Arabidopsis thaliana: one gene and its partners. The protein of the gene in region 1 interacts with the protein of each later gene in a pairwise test. Each region holds a gene or a part of one and is shown in the gene's direction. Other genes may lie near its edges.

Region 1 (3,049 bases):
ACACAATCTACAAACAACGTTTGTGTTTCTGAAGTAAGCAAGAGCTCTTTCGACGTTTGTTCTCATTACACCTTTGTTCTTGATCATTGGTAAAGACGTCTCGTCGTTCCACAACATTACTCTCACCGCTACACCTTCCTCTGATTTCCGTTTCAGAAGCTCGCCAACCGTTACTCCAACCGCATGTGGAATCTCAGTTTCGTTGTCGCGTACAAGAACAAGATTAGGGTTTAGTGCCCATCCTGCAATGTAAACCAAGTGCCTAGCACTTTCGATCGCTTTGTAAACATCTTCCCATAGATTCCTTGCATTAAAAGGAACATCATCAACCCTTGGATCAAATGTGGCCTTGTGGTGTGCATCTTGATACAGTACGACTCTGCAGTTCGATCTTTGAGGGAAGCTTGCGTTCCTAATACCTTGAAAAGACGCTTCTTCAAGCGCTCTGCACCATCCCGGTTCAAGATAAGCCGGTCTGAACCACATCAAACACTTAAGCTTCAAGTTACGTTTCGTTGACCCATTGTCTGCAATCAGAGGGAAGAACCCGTTGATAACTGCTGAATTAGATGTCAGGATCTGTTCTGCAGAGATTCGGAATCTTCCGAGAACAGAACATCGAGTCTTGAGCGTGATGGTGATAGTCGTGTCAGTAACCGGGTGAGCGCAGAGGATCTGAAAAGTCTGATTCCAAATACGGTCGTATTCTGAGCTTGTTTTAGCAACTTTCTTCTTGTTTATCTTGATGGTCACGTAAGCTGCTTTTGGCTTTGTACATATACACTGTGAACAAAGATAACAAAAGCTCATGAAAATGAACACAATGATAACATCATCAGAGTCACTAATTCAGTATATGATATAGACTTACATTGAAAGGAAATGGAGGAGAAAAAGGTGTTGCATCGAAGATTGTAATCTCTAGTGTTCCATGAAAGTACTTCTTCTGTTCTTCAAGCTCCATCTTCTCTTTATTCAAAATGTATCTTTAAGAGAATGAGAGATAATTTTCTGTGAATTGTCAAGTATGTGTTTGAAGCTGGTCAATTACAGAATGCACAAGGTTATGTCCATCCATATATGTATATGTATTTGTTAATGTTTTTGGTGAAACTTGTAGGATTCTCCATGGACAATCTTAAAGAAAACATTCAACCATATAGATGACAAAATCGAAGGTGAAGTGTCTTTGAATACAAATCAAGCATTCGACTTCGGTTTTTAAAAATAGGAATTTTAAAAAGCAAAGTGTTAGATGGTATTCAAACAAAAGGTTGGGACTAAAATGTGAAAGCATGAAAATATCTGGTGGAGTTTGTAAATATTTGTGGGGATAAGCCACGTGCAGCAACAAAGCGCTGCCAAAGAAACCACTCGGTCGCAGTTTCTTTGGTGAACTAATAATATGAAATTTTTATTCTGCCGGAAAAAAAAATTAATCCTTCTAATGAATAAAATTATGCTGTTTACAAGTAATTAATCAGATTTATGTTTTGAAAATGACAGAGAATATAATATGCTGTACATTTTCCTAAGAATATGTCTCTATGATGCTGACTGTTAAACACATATAATACCAATATTGTTACCATAAATGTACAGTTGCAAAACAAATAAAAAATTATTACAATATAAAGCATTTATGTATTTATTGGGCATGTAACAACTTTTATCCATATGTGACATTTACATTAGCACCATCACCTAATCCATAGGGACACTGAGCAATTTATAAATTATTACAACCAACAAAAAAAAAAGCTTCGTGTCTCTCTTCTCCAAAAATGACGAACTACGGGGCGATTCCGACGTCGTCTCATCCATCACCGGCGATAGATCTCGAATACATCTCACGCGCCAAACACCGTATAAAATCCGGTCTAGCTACGCGCCGCCCATGGAAATCAATGTTCGATTTCGAATCAATGACTCTCCCTCACGGTTTCTTCGACGCGATCTCGAGGATCAAAACGAATCTCGGCTATTTCAGAGCTAATTACGCCATCGGAGTTCTCTTCATCCTCTTCCTAAGCCTTCTATATCACCCAACCTCGTTGATCGTGTTATCAATCTTGGTCGTCTTCTGGATCTTTCTCTATTTCCTCCGTGACGAGCCTCTTGTTGTTTTTGGTTATCAGATTGATGATCGGACGGTTCTTATTGGTTTATCGGTTTTGACGGTTGTGATGCTTTTGTTGACTCACGCTACTTCGAATATTCTGGGATCTTTGTTAACCGCCGCCGTGTTGGTTCTGATTCATGCGGCGGTTAGAAGAAGTGATAATTTGTTTCTTGATGAAGAAGCTGCGGCGGTTACTGAAGCTTCAGGGCTGATGTCATACCCTTCGTCGTAAATCCAAAAATTTGTTTTTTTTTTTTGTATGTTACTGAGTTTGGTGCGATTTGAGAAAACTTGACATGTTCTTCTACTTTGTTCAATTTGTTGACAACAGTACAATTTTTGAGTATGTTTTGTTGGTTAATTACGTTATTACATGATTAGCACTACAAACACTAATCACTTTGGATAAAGCTACTAAAAAACCATAATTGTCAATTAAGAGGACTTTGATTTTACAAAATTCTTCTATTGATCCTACGCACTATACCAAAAGAAAGTGATCAGATTGGCTAGTTGAGCTTTTAGTTATGATCTCTGAGACCTTTCTCAGTGGATAGTCTTCCATTAAACCTCCCTGAGATTTCATTCATTAACATATCTCCTTCCAATAAACGCAACACCTTCAACAACAAGCAAAAGAGCAGACACACTTGAGAGAGTTTTATTGACTTAAAGAAATGAACATGTTTCAAGAATGGTGAATCTTTTCTTTACCTGAGACATGCGAGGACGCAAATGTGGATCTCTACGTATACACAATGAAGCTGTATGAATCATGCAAATGACTTGTGTTTCTGAATATCGCTTTTCGAGCCTCGGATCAACTAATTCCTCAACCGCATACTCTTCTAATAAAGATCTTGCCTGCTCACAAAGAAAATAAAATAACAAAATGAGCTTCAAGAAAGAAACTTTTAGATTTCATTT
Region 2 (4,430 bases), on another chromosome or scaffold:
TGACAATTACTTGATTAGTTTCAAGTTGCAGAGGAGTAGTAACACAGAAATCCATAACATCAAAATCTGAAAGCCAAAACAATAGCATTCAAACTTGTAAAAGCTAACAGTTGTAGATAGACCACCAACCAAGCAGACACAATTGTTCTAATGACCTCGAAAGACACCAAAAGTCCTAAAGAAGTCAAACAAAATCAGCCACCAATTAGATTGAAGATAGTCAACAACAGCCAAAGAGTAAAACCTAATGATTACTCAAACCCTAATTTCCCAGAGTAGGAGCAAAGTTGAAGAATACAAAGGGTATCCATCCATCCACAGAAAGAGTTAATTCCACGGCAAATTTCAGGATCTCTCTTAATCCTCAGCTAATAACTCAATTAAGACTAATGGATACAAATTACACAAATACAGACACCAGATCTGCCGCAGAAACTAATTTTCAGATCAAAATTAACCTCAATTCAACAAGAACAATAAGAGAAACAATCGGATTTAATCCATTATGTAGGTCTAAGATCCATGAATAAGCATAAGATCCGAGGAAGCTAATCAAAAAGACTTTTAACGAAATAAGTCAATTATATTGAAAAGATAAAGGGAAATTGAAGATAAACGGAGAAACAAAGATGATGATGAAATTTAGATCCAAACCTCGGCAATATGGCATAGAAGCAGCTGCCTTCAAAGAACTCCTTTAAATTAATCGGATAATACAGAGAGATAAACAAAAACGCAGAAGTAAAGTTGCTGTTTTGATGCAGAGAGAAAGAGAGAGGAATTTCGAGAGATAAAAAAGAAGAGCAGACGAAGAAGACGAGAGAGAGAGGATAATAGAAGGAATTATAACTAGTACAGAGAAAGAAACGCAGCGCGACTTCTAATGAAATGGGGACACGTGTCGAATGATGTCTGACTTTTTTTTCAAGTGTAAGTTTTCAATTGGGACTTTGGAGACTTGGCCGGTGCGACTTCGTCTACTCCCAGTATTTTGTGGGTCCTAATGAGGGCTATTAGCAGCCGTTAGATCCCCCGATAACTGTTTTGAGATGTTTCCGGTTCCAACTTTTTTTTTTGTCGACTTCCGGTTCCAACTTTGCAATATTTATCATGTAAGAAAGAAAATTTGAGCCTTTCACGAATATGTACAAGTGTCATGTTACCTTACATTACAATAAAATATAAGAGCTTAATTTGCATTCAAAGTTTATCAACTTGACTAAGCTTTGTTTGTGCTTTGAGCATCCCATTCAAGATTCATCCACCAAAATGAGACTTTGAATACACTTTTGATATAACAAAAAACTTGGTCGAATTTCTTTGGTCCTAATTTATTTCCTGAATCCCATCTGTTGTACTGGGCCTAGGCCCAATTGGCCCAATATGTATGTACCATAAAAAAGAAGTCATTAAGTTTTTATGATTGACTTTTTTACATAGAAGCAAAATTATAAATTTGGTGTATGAATGGATGGACTAATTCGAGACGAATCAGATGGCTAACGAAAACCAGACTTGTGTCCGTTTTGCATTTTCGAAAATTATCGGAAGAATCGGTCAATTGATTACCCTCTTTTTTTTTTGTTTACCCCATTTTTTAATAGTCATGAATCATCTTCCTTGGTTGTGTCAGATTACTTAAGTCATTATTTTGTTATAGAGATGCTTTACTAGTATTTTTGATTTGTTTTGGTAAGGACACTTGTCTAGCTAAAGAAATGTTAGTTAAATGAAAGAAAAAAGGTTCAGTAGTTGACCCGTTTAATCAACTGCGAACAACGTTCATACTAATATAATTTGTTACCATAAATTCATAATCTAAACGCGTGCTTAAGTTGTAAACAAAAGGAATTAACAAGGGACACGTAAAGTAGCAATTCCGCAGGAAAAGCGAGGGTAAAATTGTCATTTCAGTGGATCCCCACCACCACCACCACCGCCGCACCAGTTTCTTCTTCATCTCCTACGTCTGAAATTGAGAAATCGGAAGAAGAAAGATAAGTCTAATCTTGTGCCTTTAGATTTCTTTTCGGGGAGATCTAGTAGTTGTTGGATTCGTTAAACGGAGAAGTGGATTTGGTACGAGTCTTTAGGTTTCCTTCTTCACCAAAAGCTCTATATAGAGAGAATCTGCGAGCTCTTTTTGGTAGGAAATTAGGGTTCGTGTTGCTTGGTAAATATAGAATCAATGACGGAGGTTGTTCTGCATATATACGATGTGACGAACAGTGGATCGGAGAAGACTAACAACACCATTGTTCAGATCAATAGGTTCTTCAAAGACGGGATCGGTCTTGGCGGTATATTCCACAGCGCTATTCAGGTACTACTCTTCGTCTATATTCTATGAATCTACATTTATGTACAATTATCGATGATGTCTAAGCTTGGTTTTGGTCTACTTTATGTAGATTTGGTTTTTGTTTCTGTGTATGTATGTGGAAATTAAGAAGTTGACGGCATGATACTTTTCTTTTGATATGTGAGGCTTTAGTTTAATGGTTTATGGTCCTAAAGGTCTGGAGCTGAAGTCTCTCTTTTGCTCAGGATCTTGTGTTTCCTAGTACTTTTGGTAACTTTCCATATGATAATGATTGCGATATATTGACCAAGTGCTCTCTGGAGACTTGTTAAATCCAATGATGGCTTACGTTTACTTCTGTGATCTTTGACCTGGGCAAATATAATTGCATATACCACTTTCCCATTTGAGTCGTGACAATTTGGTGTATTCCAACAAAACTACCAGAATTTAGGTTTTCAAGTTAGTGCTAATCATTCTATGTTCTTAGGTCTGTATATCTATGCAATATCATTTGATTATTCTTGTTCATGGTTTTGTTATTTTTTTGTGTCTTGTAGATGACTATTGATTCGCAGGGAAGAGTGATTGAATAGAATATTTTATGACCTTTGTGCAGGTATATGGAAACGATGAATGGTCTTACGGGTATTGTGAACTAGGAACTGGTGTATTCAGCTGCCCGAGTGGAAAGAATCCAATGTACACATACCGTGAGAAAATCGTCCTTGGCAAAACAGATTGCACAATCTTCATGGTGAATCAGATGTTGCGTGAACTCAGCAGGGAATGGCCTGGACACACTTATGATTTGTTGTCAAAAAATTGCAATCACTTCTGCGATGTACTCTGTGACCGGCTTGGTGTGCCAAAGATCCCAGGTAAAGCCATTTTTTGGGAATCTGGTGTGTGTGTGTGTGTGTTTTGTCTTCAAGGCTTATGTGACGGCTTGGGTTCTGTCTCTTAACAGGTTGGGTTAATCGCTTTGCTAATGCTGGGGACACAGCCTTGGAAGTGGCAGGAAACACAGCAATGCGGGTGGGTTCCCTTTTGTTTAGCTTCTCTACAACGTAAATGCAACATTATGGGTGTTCAAAACTTGTAAATTGGGATTTTGCAGATGAAGCAAGCCAAAACTGAACTTGTGTCAGCTAGTAAAGTGGCTTATCGCTTCCTCTCGAATGTTACTTCGAACGTAACCAATGGCTCCAATGGCTCTCCACAACGACCGGGAACTCTCAACAATTCAGACAGCGGGAACTTGAGATTGCAAGGTAGTTGGCTCAAAGGCTTACTTAACACAGCCAAACCCTCCACTAGTACAGAGATAGGGAACAAAGATGAAGATGCAAATCATGCAGTCACCAATCAGAAGAAACAAAGCCGTGACTCTGATGTTCTACTGTTTCAGTAGCAACCGTACCGATCCACCACAATGCATTCGGTTAGCTGTATATCCACCGGTCTAAGAGTCACGCACTATTCTCCTCGTCTGTACCCATTACTCTGTATCAACGTTGGAACCTGTCATTTTTTCTTGAGTTTTTAGCTCACGTGTGCTTTTGTTAAGATCATTCTCGCTTGTTACTGTCAAATCTTAACATCAAAAGGTTTATTAGTCTCAATACACTAGAAATTGTGACTGAATTTGGATAATCACGTGATTCAAGAGGTACTCTGTAATCTGTATAAAACTTAGAACGTATTTGTGAATGTTACAAAGAGAATTCAGAAAACATCTTTTCAGCTAGTCTAACATCAAAAGATAAACAACGAGGAGGAATTTTCACACCAAAAGGGGTTCTAGAATAAAGAAAAAAACTGCAACTCTACTCATAGCAAACACTTGTTTCTGCAGCCAAGTTTGGCACGATGGCTTTTGTCATCCCCCGAACATCGTCTCGAAGACATAAGCGTTCCTATCAGCGTCCTCAGATATCTGTAGTGACGAAACAGCCTGAGCAGCAATCAAATCTGCAGATATTACCATGTTGTTATCCCAGACATCCTTCATGAATGGCTTATATGACACTGACCAGTTACTATCTCCTAGTCCATAACCATTTGACACAAACCCAATCCCTTGAACCGCATAGCTAGCACAACTTTGGCGAGGAACATAGTTGGT
Region 3 (5,663 bases), on another chromosome or scaffold:
GAGACTAAGAGTTGATGATGAATCTCCATGACTTCATGTGGTTTGAAGTTGAAACAATAAATACAAAGTTTAGAATTGATGATAATCAATTCATGAGTTCATTTCATAAGTATAACTGTTAAAGTTTGTGTGTATCTAGCTCTTTGTAAAGAATTGGATGACGGTATATATGGAACTTGAATACTTGATCCACTAGTTTCTTAGCTATAGATAGAAGAAGAGAAAAGAAAAGAAAAGTTTTAGAATTTGCTTTTAGAGTGTAAAGAAATGTGATAAAAAGAAAAAAAAAAAAAGTTAAGCTCGCAACTTTGTTATATAATATGGTTTTGCATGGAGGTTGATGGTTTATTTTACTAGTATCTCTGAATTTAAATGAAGAAAAGCAAGTGGAGGAATGGGCAATCGATTTGATATAACGAACTTCATTTTTGTCAATCTTAATTAGATGTTAATAATGATGTTTTATATCTAAAAAGGACTATATATATATAATTTGAGTATTGAATTTAATTAATGAATGTAAGAAAAAACAGAAGAATATTCAAGTGGATGTCACTATCTCTGCGACTCTACAGCACTTTTGGTTTTCTATGAAAAAAAAAAGAAGAAACTGAAACTGAAAATTCCTTAAGGTCAGATTCATCCAAAAGTAGAATTTTAATGGACTTTTATGTTTTGTGGAAGAATGTCAGATTTTGCAAGGGAAAGTGAGTCATGGCAGGTTGCACTAGCTCATAGACCACTAACAATATGTTACTGTCAACAAACATCATGATTTCACTATGGAAGGTATACATGAATGACCACATCACATGGATATATATTTTCTTATTTTCAAACACTAATCATAAGAACATACCAAATTTTAGATAAATGGTCAAACTTATAAATGTCAAAAGGTGTCCAAATTCTGTAGTATATTATATAGTAGAAGTTTCTTCTTATTTTGGAGATTGAATATAAAGGAGCCAAAAAAATATGGATTTTGATAGCTTCTTAGACGTTTCATTTAGGAAATATATGCATGGTTGGGTTGATGAGAATGCCATAGAAGTGAAAAACAAATGAGAAAATTCATACAAAAGGAATCTACATACGTAGAATAAAGCAAGAGGACCACTTCACGTTTTGCAGCTTTCCCACTTCAGTTAACCCCAAAATTGAATATTGTCTTGGCTTACATGTCTACTACTCTTTTGCTTTGATGCTTTTCAATCCATTTCTGTATCCCCAACAAGTTGTTGTGTTTCCTCCTCCTATGTAGTTATCAGCGCCTAGCTATTAAGGAAAGAGTATCATCATATCACATATGATTACTCAAATCTCATATATTATTGAATATTATGTTATGTACTTATATCATGTTTCATTACGACCATTAGGGAAGTTGTAGTACATTGAAAATCTTGAAGATTAAGAGAAAGTGTAAAGCTGTGTCTAACGCATCTATGTTTGAAGTCCCTGTGAACTAAGTGTCTAAGTCACCACTACCAAGCGTCGAAGCTAGTACGCAATATTTCACAATCTTGCACACATTTGAGATTAGTTGGGCAAAGTAAGAACTCTGCTCTCTCCTAAACGATTGGCTTGTTACAGCCCGGCCCATTGATGTTCCTTAGCCCATCGTTTATGTAAAGCTTCTCCCTTAACAAAGCCTACCTTCTACAGATCTACTTAATCATCCTCATAACCAAAAACAAAACAAAAGAATCATGTGATGACACCTCCACCGTCAGATCAAAAACCATAAAAATGAAGTGAACAAACAAAAAGTGAGAAACTCAAGAACCGGTTCATTTGACGAGTAAGCTGATCCAGTATCGTACCGACCGGTTAAGTTGATTTGATCGCGTTGAAAGAGTGAAGACAGATTCAACTGCAATTCCGCGAAACCAAACCTAACAGCATTTTTCTCCAATTCCTTCTTCTTCTTCTTCTTCTTCTGTAACCTCGTCTTCTTCAGCTTATACTCATAGCTATACCAAAGAAAACCTCTTAAAACCCTTCTTCTCTCGATCCATCGATCAGCAACAATTCACTTCTAATCGATCAAGAGCTTTCCGATCTCGTCGATCCCAATTAACATGGCTTCCAACGGCGCTTCTCCGGTCTTTTTCTCTCTTGATCTCTGTGTGCTACAATTTAGTCTCTTTCTTTTGGCTGCTTTTCTCATTCACACTCTTAAATTGACCCATTTTGTCAATTTCTGAAAATGCGCAGAGAATTGTTGATGCTACTGAGAACAGCTTGGATAAGATCAAGCGACAATTGGCATCTGGCTCTGGTCGGAACTTGCTACAAGGACCTCTTTTCAAGCGATCTGAAACTGTAAGTCCAATTTTTTTAAGTGAAAATGATCAAAACCAGTTTTTGCTTTATTGATTGGGATTTCTTAGTTAGCTCAAACTAAGAAGACTCTCTGATAGCTCACTATTAGATTTCTATAGCTTAAACAAGTCTTTTGGCCTGAAATGTCTTGGCTTATTCAAAGGTTCACAATGATAATATCTTTTGTTTGTGTTTATGTATGAATAGCTGAGAAAATGGAACGAACGATGGGTGATACTTGATCCAACAACAGGGAAAATGGAGTATAAGTGAGTTATATCAATTTGCTTATGTAGCTGCATTTGTGTGTAGACCACTTCATCATGGTTTTATTCATTTCTGATGTATTTCCATGACTCAGGACGAGGCGAAATGAGCCAACTATCAAGGGAACAATTTTGTTTGACGAAAATAGCACAATCTCCATCTCTCCTGTCAACTTCCAGTATGGATGCTACATTCTTTTTTTTGTTGCTCTGTATAATCATCATTATTTGGTGTCTGTTTGTATCATTGACTTTGTTTCTTTTGTGTTTCAGGGGGCTTCCAAAATATAATGGTTGCTGTATTTGTATCCTTGGTTTTAGTAAAATGTTGGCATATTTATAATTGTTTCTTTTGTCTATAAGGAGATAGTTGATTGGAATCTAGAGTTGAATTTTCTTCAACTTGATATAAGATATTGGTACCCCACAGAAGAAAGATTACTTTTTGTGTGCAGAGACTCCTGGTGCAGCTAAAGCTTGGGTCACAACCTTACAGTAAGTCATCTGGATCTTCATCTTTTTGTTTGCTTCTCTTTCTGTCCTTTTTATTTACTTACCATTCTCTAGAGAAGCCACCCCGCTTATTTCATCTATCTTAAATAATTCATAGTTGTGTTGATTTAATGGTTTCGTCGTCGACCATGTTGAAAGAATCATCTTTCTCTCTCTTTTTACGTTTCTTACTGAAAATGTAATACCTTCTAAATGCCCCTCAAAAGCCAATCTGATAAACCTTATCTTTCTTTGTTCGTTCCAGTGCGACACAGCTAGTTCTAAAGGCCCATAAGGAGGCTGTCGAATCTCTAAGTGGAAGTGGTTCTGCAACACTTGGTACCGTTGCAACCGTTGTTGCCGCTGCCAATTCAACAGCATTGGAATGTTCCAGAGAAATTCAAGCAGCAATGCAGATCTCTTTGAGGAATGCATTGAAAATAACGCCAAATAAACCGATTGATGGACCACTAGATGATTTGACAATAATGAAGGTGTGGTATCTTTGCATCTCTCTTTCTCTTCGAATTTGGGAAACTTTTGTGAATAGCATATTGACATCCTTTGGCTGTTGAGATTCTGAAATGTCAAGATGAACGATGAAAGCATATAGGGACACCTTACAGGAAACTCTGCTTGTCAAGGATGAAAATTAACAGAATTAGCATAAATCTTATTCGTCCATCTTCATTCTAATGTCCAGGTTAACCTTATTGAGCCACTTACATCTTACAGGAAACTCTGCGTGTCAAAGATGAAGAATTACATAATTTAGCCAGGGAACTTCGTTCTCGTGACTCAATGATAAAGGAAATAGCAGATAAGCTATCTGAGACTGCTGAAGCAGCTGTAGCTGCAGCATCTGCTGCTCATACAATGGATGAACAAAGGAAAATCGTTTGTGTGGAATTTGAGCGCTTGACTACAGACTCACAGAGACAGCAAGAAGCCACAAAATTAAAGGTAATGAGGCCATGTCATATATAGATACTTTTGCATCCTTGTGTATGTTTTGTTGTTTATTTGATCTTTATCTCCTATGTAGCTCAAGGAATTGGAAGAGAAGACCTTTACTTTGAGTAAGGAAAAAGATCAATTGGTTAAGGAAAGAGACGCTGCTCTCCAAGAGGCACATATGTGGCGGTCTGAGCTTGGGAAAGCCAGAGAGCGTGTTGTCATACTTGAAGGAGCTGTTGTGAGGGCCGAAGAGAAAGTGAGGGTTGCAGAAGCAAGCGGTGAAGCAAAATCAAAAGAGGCTTCTCAGAGAGAAGCAACTGCTTGGACAGAGAAGCAAGAGCTTTTAGCATATGTGAATATGTTACAAACTCAGCTTCAAAGGTGAGCCTATCTGAATCTATCTCCCAGGGAAACTCATGACTTTTGAAGGGTCATAAATCTCTTTATTTTTGAATAAACAGGCAGCAACTAGAGACAAAGCAAGTGTGTGAGGAGAAGACTGAGTCTACTAACGGCGAAGCTTCTCTTCCAATGACAAAGGAAACAGAAAAGAATGTGGATAAAGCATGTCTGAGCATTTCAAGAACAGCCTCTATACCGGGAGAGAATGTAGTCCATATGAGTGAAGAGCAGGTAGTAAACGCTCAGCCTCCGGTGGGAGAAAACGAATGGAATGATATTCAGGCAACAGAGGCAAGAGTTTCTGATGTAAGAGAAATATCTGCAGAGACTGAACGGGACAGAAGAAACAGCTTGGATATCCCGGTAGTGTCTCCTGAACCTAACGTTCCACGCAATGATCCGCCTTCCGAATCATTTCATCACCAGCCTTGAATAAAGATTGGTAGATCTTCGTACATTTTAATATACTCTTTGATGGTCTGGTAATGTTTGGAGAGTTGATTCTTCTAACAACAAAAAGAATTTGTCTTTTTAGTTTTCTTGTACATTCAAGAGTTGTTATGTATCTGCCGCTCTTGAATTTGTCTGACTAGGGAATGATTCTTTTTCCCTTTTATTACAACATGAAGAACAGAGAGATATGTGTTAAACTTTGACTTATGTTTTTGGATTCATATAAACCAGTTTTCATATAAATGCAATCCTTCAACAAACCACGATGGTTGTGATGTTAGTACCAGTTTTATCAAAGACCTACACTGAATAGAGGAATATACATGGGTTGAGTCACTCTGATTTTAAACTCTTATTGAAAAGCTTGAAAAGTTACAGAATACAAGAAACCAGAGACAACAAATGAGACAGAGTTCCGTTTCTTATTGAAACAACAAGACAATCGACCCGAAAACGAACTCCCTCAAAGAACACAAAGCTCACACAAACCCCCCAAGTCAACATCTCCTTGTTTAAACAGGTAGTGAGTACTTAGCGGAAACCTCCTTCCACGCAGCACGGCTACTAATCTTATCCCACCAAGCGCTAACATGCTTCCTATCTTTGATCAAATGAGCCTTCCCAATAGGACCAACAAGATACTCGGTGAAAGGAAGGTGAGCCAAATCAGCTAGACTCACAAAATCACCAGCCAAGTATTCGTTCTTAGAAAGCTGAGCTTCATAGACATCAAGCACTTCTGCAAGCTTCTCTTCACTCTCCTTA
Region 4 (7,116 bases), on another chromosome or scaffold:
TATACTAAACAACCACTTCAGAATTCAAAAACCTCGAAACTCTCAGAAATTTTAAGCTACGAAATGAACAAATACCAGGTACGTAAACGTGCAAAGCGTAATTTCCATCGACATGAGGAAAGTTTCTTACACGAACTCCAGGCTCTGTTGAGAAGAAATCCAGTGAACCTTCAAGTTCAGACGAAATAAAAAATAAGTGATGAGTGAAATCTCTAAGAATTTGATTGAGGAACAATCACAGAGACAATTGATGAGCATCTTCACCTGTGGATACAATGGAATCGAGAAGCGCAAGCGGTGGAGGAGGCAAGGAAATCGAATCTTTCTCTCCAGAATTTGCAGTAACGGGACTCGCCGGAGAAAGATCATCGGTATCGGAATCCGATGAAGAGTCGCCGTAGGACGCTCTCAATGCTTCCATTGCCCGTAAATTAATTAAAACAGAAAAACCAAACAGAGAAACTATTTAAACCAGATTTCATTTTCAAGCATAAACCAGATTAAACCAAAATGATTCTAATATAACCAAATTAAAGCGAACCGAATATAAACCGAACCATCCGCGAAGACAAAGCAGCACAATTCGGAAACCATTAACGGGCCGAGAATGGGCCTTCACCGAAGATCAAAGCAAAACCCTAATTACGTTCCCTATAAATTAGACACCAATCGCCGGAGGTTTCATCATTATCAGTATTCAATAGCATCTAGGGTTCTCTTCTTCTGTTATTCAATCGTCGTTTTTATGGGTCTTTTTGGATGATTGATAGTTTTTAAGTTTCTTTATAATTCTCTAATCGAGAGAGGGAGATTGGCAGTGATGACTCGGAAATTTCAAGCTCAACAGACCGGAATTAGGCGTTTCTTCCAATTTATTGGTTGAGTCGTTTCTGTGTCGATAACCCCGCTGATCTGAGCCTTCCTCTCTTTTCATTTGATTCTGATTTGTTTGCGTTTTCGAATTTGAAATTCTCTGGTAATCGATTTATACGTTTTTATCGATTTTGAAATCGGTGTTTGCGCTTTTTTAATGATGATGGGGATTTTGGAGATTACGATGAGGATGTACAGCTCCCTCTTCTGATTAAGCTGAAGAGAATTGCTGGCAGAATCGAACCTAAATCACTAGCCACTACTGAGTTATCCCCTTAATCCCCATAAATAGTTTATAAGAGTTTGTTTTTTGGTTTTCTATTCAGTAAAAACGAATTTAGATGGTAGATAATGATGAAGCAAAATTAATCTAATCCAACACTTGATCTGAGAGATACTATGTGCATCTCCAAGTGAAGTTACAACTGTTAGCTTCTGAATCTAACTTTGTTCAATTGTGATTTGCTTCAGTTTAATGACAAACTACGAGTAAAGTTTAATCGGAAGAATTGACTAATACATTCAAAATAGTTGTCTGATTAAATGTCTATTGAACACGACACAAAATAGTTATCTATTTGTTCGAATATGATTAGGACATCCATATTCGAACAAATAGATAATTTAGTCTGCCAATTCTGAAAACATTGTTTTGACACTGAGAATATCAAATTAATGTATGAAATTATCTATTTTATCTAGTGCCCGTACCTAGTTGAATCCGAAGTAATCGATCCCTGTGTATTGATTTGAAAGCATTTGGTCATAAACATTGGCGTGTTCTTGTTAAAGAGCAGTCGTCAGATATCTTAGAAACTAATGGCAGTTACCAACGATGTTCCAACGAGCACCCAATTTGCCTACAATGACGAAGGCTGGGGACTTAAAATTGATTCGAAAAAACCTGTAAAAAATATATTATACAAAAGTATTGGTCACAAACTTTGTTATCACCGTTAGTGATTCAAAGGTAGTCAGATTGTATGAACTTTTTAGTCTTAATCAAAAATTGGTATAGTTGAAGAAAAAGAAAAATCCAAAGACCGGCAATCCAAAACGTTTAGTTACTATGGTAATTTGTAACTTCCGTATAATTAACAGTTTAATACAGTTCAGTACTTAGCAGAGTTCCGTTGTAACGGAATAACGGGATCCAGTTGATTACGTTTTGAAACCAGTAAAGTCAAAGATATTATTTTGTTGTTAAGAAGAGGAAAAAAGTCAAAGTTATCCTGTTTGTTTGTTTTCCCCAAATTAAGAAAAAAGCAAAGGCGTAGAGGGAGAGAGTTTGTTCTCAGGAAGTCGGTATCTCTATCGAAGCCGACTTCACGTCACGATTACTTACTTCCACGTTACATTTTGTCGTGTTTTCTTCCTTCCGTTTCCTTCTCTGGCAAGTCTGCTTCGTACGTACTCTCTCTTCATTCCCACTTCACACTTTCTACTTTTTACCAAATCCTATCCTCAACTCTAATTCCCACCATTTCTGATCCACGATTTCAAATTGGGTGGTTGGAAGCAGTGTTTGTGCTGTAATTGGATCTGATCTGATCGGATTCGATTGAAATTTGGATCCCATGGAGAAGCACGAGGAGGAAAACGGTCTTTGCAAGGCGGAATCTGTTGATGGTAGCCTTGATGTTTGGAGTTGTCAGAATTCTGATTCTTCTTCCGCTGATCACCTTGTCGTTATGGTCCATGGGATCTTGGGAAGGTAAACAAACTTTGATGGAGTTGAGAATTTTGATTGTTCTGTTTTACTTGATATATTTATGCAATTCGCCAAAATCTCAATAATGAGAATTGTTCTTGAGAACTGCAGTACGGATGATTGGAAGTTTGGAGCTGAGCAGTTCGTCAAAAAGATGCCAGACAAAGTCTTTGTTCACTGTAAGTTGTCTTGCGCTTTGATTAATGATGATTTACAAAGTTCCAAAATTGAAATTAGTTTCCTTTTTCAGAATTAAACTTAGTTAGTGGACCCTTTATCTAATCATTCAGCTATTAATAGGTTCTGTTTTCCATTTCTTGCTACTATTGGGTCTGTGTCACTGGCAATTATCTTTAAATTCTAAGATTCTTATGATGCTAGGTTTATTGCTCCAAGATTCTTATGATCTTACCTTTTGTAAGCAGGTAGTGAAAAGAATGTGTCTGCGCTTACTCTAGATGGTGTGGATGTAATGGGTGAACGTCTAGCAGCTGAGGTAAGGCGTCACATATAGGTCCTCTTTTATTTACATTTGTGGAGTTGGACTCTGTTTGATGTAACGAAAATGCATGTCAGGTTCTTGATATTATTCAGAGAAAACCAAATATCTGTAAAATCTCCTTTGTTGCACATTCTTTGGGAGGGCTTGCAGCAAGATATGCAATTGGGAAATTGTACAAGCCCGCTAATCAGGAAGATGTTAAAGACTCGGTAGCGGACAGTAGTCAAGAGACTCCCAAAGGCACAATATGTGGACTCGAGGCTATGAATTTTATTACTGTAGCTACACCACATTTGGGTTCAATGGGTAATAAACAGGTAACTCTACTTGTGTACATGCGTAGTGCATTGACTTTGCTAAATCGTCTATTAAACTTGTTTGAAACGAATTTTCTTCTACAACTTTCATTGCATAACATGGTTCTGGTGAGTGTTAAAAAAATGAACAAAATTAGGAAACATAACTTGTTTGCTATCTTAATATTTGCTACTAAAAACCTGGCACTCTGTTTACCTAACTTTCCACCAGGGTAATGTATATAAGTTATGACTGACAACTGCTTTCTTGAACTATGCAAATCTGGTTGTATGATTGAATTACCATTTCACTTATGTCTGGATATTATTCTCATTATAACAATTTATTGTTTTCTTCCAGGTTCCGTTTCTCTTTGGTTTTTCTTCCATTGAGAAAGTTGCAGGTCTCATTATCCACTGGATATTTAAAAGAACGGGCCGTCACCTTTTCTTGAAGGATGAAGAAGAGGGAAAACCACCATTGCTTCGACGCATGGTGGAAGATACCGATGATTGTCATTTCATGTGTGCCACTCTATGTCCCATTTGTCACAAGTTAGTTTACCTAACTTTGTCTCGATAATGTCTCACTAGAAAATGTTTTCCTCAATTGCAGATCTGCACTGCGAGCCTTCAAAAGGCGGGTGGCTTATTCAAATGTGGGCCATGATCGTATCCTTTATGTGTGTTACTTGTAGAAATGTCCTTGTTAGCATCAGACATTACATTTTTTTTTTCCTTCACTAGATCTAAATAGACGTTGTTGGCTGGAAGACGGCATCCATTAGACGTGACAGTGAATTGCCTAAGGTATCTGACTCTGACTGGATTACTTGATTTGGTTCAGGATTTTGATATAATAGTTCTCTCTGATAAATGAATAATTTCTTGTTTACCAGTGGGAAGATTCTCTGAATGAGAAGTATCCTCATATTGTTTACGAAGAACTCTGCAAGGCATGTGATATGGAGGACATACCAGAAGGCGAGAATCATTCAGACGACATAGAAGGTTAGCGTGCACTTGTTGCACTGACCGTTTAGGCATTTATCTGTGATTTTGTAGAACTTAATGCTCACTTCTCTTATTTCTATTTCTACTTTCTATGCTTTAGATCTTATTAGCTGGTAAAAGAAGTGTTCAGTACAAATTCATATGTTGATGATCTACCATATGCTGTGCTTCTGCTTTCTTATTCATATGCATCATGATGTATATAATAACGTAGTGCCTCGTCAATTGTGCAGAAGAAATGATCAAAGGCCTCTCCTCTGTCTCATGGGAAAAAGTTGATGTTAGCTTTCACAGTAGCAGGCAGAGGTTTGCTGCCCATAGTGTTATACAGGTCTCTCACTCTCACCTGCCATACCTCATGTGTCTTAAGATATAACATTTGTTTATCCTCACACCTAAGGCTTTTTAATTGCATCCTCTCTTGATAGTTATCTTTCTGTTGTTATATACATTGAACGATAACATATTGTTCATTCATTTTGATAGGATTAATCTCCACATACTTTCTAGTAAAACCATAAAGTCTAATAGTCTGTGTTATGCCGTTTACAGGTTAAAAATGAAGATATGCATATAGAAGGAGCAGATGTCATAGAGCATATCATCGATCATTTCCATGCTTAAATCAGTAAACTTTTCATCACCCAAGAGTTTGGGACACGACATTAAGGACTCAAATTTCTTATAGTAGAGCAACAATTTTCCAGCTGGACGTTTATATGTCACGTAGTTGTTTACACTATAAAATCATCTCATTTTGTCTGTAATTGCACAGGTAGCAAGACGTCAATTATGACCAATGTATTTGATACATGGTATTAGCAAAGCAAATTGTTCAATTCAATTGTATCATGTATTCACAAATATTTTGCAATGGAAGCTTTGTGCCTATATATTTTTTTTACTTGGAAGAATTCCTACCGACTGAGTTTGTGGTGTCATTTGATAATCAACGTCTTAACATTCTCAGGGTGAAGGACTAAAATGCAATCAGTACACTTTCATCTTCAGTATTTCTCTCTGGTTGTTTCCTTTGATTTGGTGACTTGAAATAGTCTACGTAATCTTGCCATGTTGTATGACGTGAACATGTTACAACCTTAGCATCAAGTACATCTGGAAGTCGAAGCTCTGGTGGAGCATTAGTTTTCTCTTCTATTTGTGCGTCTTGAACATTCTGTATCTCTTTAGGCTGGACATTGATAGTGATCTAGCAAAGACAGGTTTGTTGGTTTAAGACCTCCCTAAGTTTTTGTAAGTTTGAGCTCGTTTAAGGAAGGGTAGAAAGAATTGCATTTAAGAAGAATGAATGAATATAGTAAAACATTTTTTTACAATCAGCTAATCTAGAAGCTTTGAAAACAATCCAATGTTGATTTTTTCCAGTTTGACCCTCTGAAGCTTAAGTAACTACGAGTTGAGAGTGTCCAAGAGATGGACAAGGAGATAACAGAGGCACGGAAAATATTCCCATGTCTTTACTGTCTGCTCCGTCCCAAAACCCCTTCCAACTTGATGGCGTTAATGGACAAGCATCAGCCTGAACCTGAGCTTCTTCCCTCTTAACAGCTTTACGGCTGATCAGCTGGCTTTCATCCTCCGTCACCTGTCTCTTCCTCTTTGCTTTTAAAGAAATAGTCTTCTTGTTGTCTCCCAAGTCCTCATGCTTTCCTGCTTCAAGTGGGAAGTTAAGAATAGCTTTGCTTCCTCGTAGTTTAAAAGCTGCCTTGTCATAACCTCTTGCAGCTTCCATGGCTGTGTCAAAAGTGCCTAACCAGACACGAACACCTTTCTTGTTTGGGTCTCTGATCTCAGCCGCATACTTACCCCATGGTCTTCTCCTGACGCCTCTGTAATGCCTTTGATCATTCTCTTGAACCACCGGTGCAGTAGTAGGAACTGCTATAGTGGCAAGAGGTGGTTTGCGTTGGCTTAGAGTTGAGGTGGTGCAGTGGTGGATGGTGGAGGCAAAGGTGTCTAAGGAAGGGAAATCAGTAAGAAGGTGTTGGGTTATGAGATCTAAAGCTGACTGGTCTTGTTCTTGCTGTTGTTGATGTGAAGAAGCCATAGATGATGAATTATGTTGGAGTCTTCTTTGTGGTTTTGATTATGGATTTTGGTTTTTGAGATTGGAGGTTATATATAAAAGTGGGATTGAGAGGTTTCGTAGCTAGCTTCTTGGGTTGGAGAGAGGAAGGATCCTTTTCAATTGTTTTGACTTGTTTAGTTCTATTGTTGCTTTGGAGTGTGGCAAGTGGACTACTCTATCATTTATTATTTTAAGATAATGAAGGATTTGTGGCTATGTCTTTTTCTTGCGAGGGTCCATCATCATAGCTATTGTCTATTTCCAGGCTTCTTCATATCCCAGACACAAATTAAAAATGTTTTTCTGAGAGATATTTGAAAGAAAAATTGACACTTTTTTCTTACTTTTAAGGGTAAAGTTTAGTTATATTTTGGAAAAGGTGGATGCACGAATGTGTATGTGTCCACTTGACTATGTGCCTATGTTAGATGGTATTGCTGCCTTGGATTCTCGTTTGGGCACACTGTGGATTATATGATTTGGCCGCAATATTTGAAACTTATGTTTTTTTTCGTTTAATTGTTTGAAACTTTTATTCAATTTAAGTTACTTCATTTTTGTTTCTTTGTTGTTTATATAGACCAACTTGCCTATTTTGAACAATGAAAGTTTGAATTTCCTGCATGCAAGT

The links.
Region 2: the proteins of PRA7 (region 1) and AT4G25680 interact in a two-hybrid assay, tested with the Arabidopsis thaliana proteins (one large-scale study listed by BioGRID).
Region 3: the proteins of PRA7 (region 1) and SWAP70 interact in a two-hybrid assay, tested with the Arabidopsis thaliana proteins (one large-scale study listed by BioGRID).
Region 4: the proteins of PRA7 (region 1) and AT5G51180 interact in a two-hybrid assay, tested with the Arabidopsis thaliana proteins (one large-scale study listed by BioGRID).

Annotation. Positions count from the first base shown.
Region 1 is NC_003070.9:20,586,666-20,589,714, forward strand, and holds PRA7 (PRA1 (Prenylated rab acceptor) family protein), read left to right. Parts: upstream 1-1,731; 5' UTR 1,732-1,784; coding exon 1,785-2,354; 3' UTR 2,355-2,534; downstream 2,535-3,049. Other genes in the region: PLDEPSILON (phospholipase D alpha 4), read right to left, coding at 1-783, 872-964; AT1G55200 (kinase with adenine nucleotide alpha hydrolases-like domain-containing protein), read right to left, coding at 2,644-2,742, 2,837-2,986.
Region 2 is NC_003075.7:13,086,237-13,090,666, forward strand, and holds AT4G25680 (PPPDE putative thiol peptidase family protein), read left to right. Parts: upstream 1-1,736; 5' UTR 1,737-2,188; coding exon 2,189-2,323; intron 2,324-2,921; coding exon 2,922-3,183; intron 3,184-3,272; coding exon 3,273-3,340; intron 3,341-3,422; coding exon 3,423-3,716; 3' UTR 3,717-3,925; downstream 3,926-4,430. Other genes in the region: AT4G25690 (stress response NST1-like protein), read right to left, coding at 4,185-4,430.
Region 3 is NC_003071.7:13,142,140-13,147,802, reverse strand, and holds SWAP70 (Pleckstrin homology (PH) domain-containing protein), read left to right. Parts: upstream 1-1,742; 5' UTR 1,743-2,084; coding exon 2,085-2,108; intron 2,109-2,220; coding exon 2,221-2,328; intron 2,329-2,535; coding exon 2,536-2,597; intron 2,598-2,689; coding exon 2,690-2,773; intron 2,774-2,867; coding exon 2,868-2,899; intron 2,900-3,007; coding exon 3,008-3,089; intron 3,090-3,351; coding exon 3,352-3,580; intron 3,581-3,821; coding exon 3,822-4,049; intron 4,050-4,131; coding exon 4,132-4,424; coding exon of another isoform or gene 4,425-4,428; exon of another isoform or gene 4,429-4,504; coding exon 4,505-4,877; 3' UTR 4,878-5,138; downstream 5,139-5,663. Other genes in the region: AT2G30890 (Cytochrome b561/ferric reductase transmembrane protein family), read right to left, coding at 1-29; GSTF10 (glutathione S-transferase PHI 10), read right to left, coding at 5,411-5,663.
Region 4 is NC_003076.8:20,794,910-20,802,025, forward strand, and holds AT5G51180 (alpha/beta-Hydrolases superfamily protein), read left to right. Parts: upstream 1-2,040; 5' UTR 2,041-2,450; coding exon 2,451-2,587; intron 2,588-2,695; coding exon 2,696-2,763; intron 2,764-3,009; coding exon 3,010-3,080; intron 3,081-3,160; coding exon 3,161-3,403; intron 3,404-3,743; coding exon 3,744-3,907; intron 3,908-3,998; coding exon 3,999-4,054; intron 4,055-4,139; coding exon 4,140-4,192; intron 4,193-4,281; coding exon 4,282-4,393; intron 4,394-4,629; coding exon 4,630-4,727; intron 4,728-4,948; coding exon 4,949-5,020; 3' UTR 5,021-5,798; coding exon of another isoform or gene 5,799-6,464; 3' UTR 6,465-6,570; downstream 6,571-7,116. Other genes in the region: AT5G51170 (U6 snRNA phosphodiesterase-like protein), read right to left, coding at 76-168, 265-421; AT5G51190 (Integrase-type DNA-binding superfamily protein), read right to left, coding at 5,799-6,464.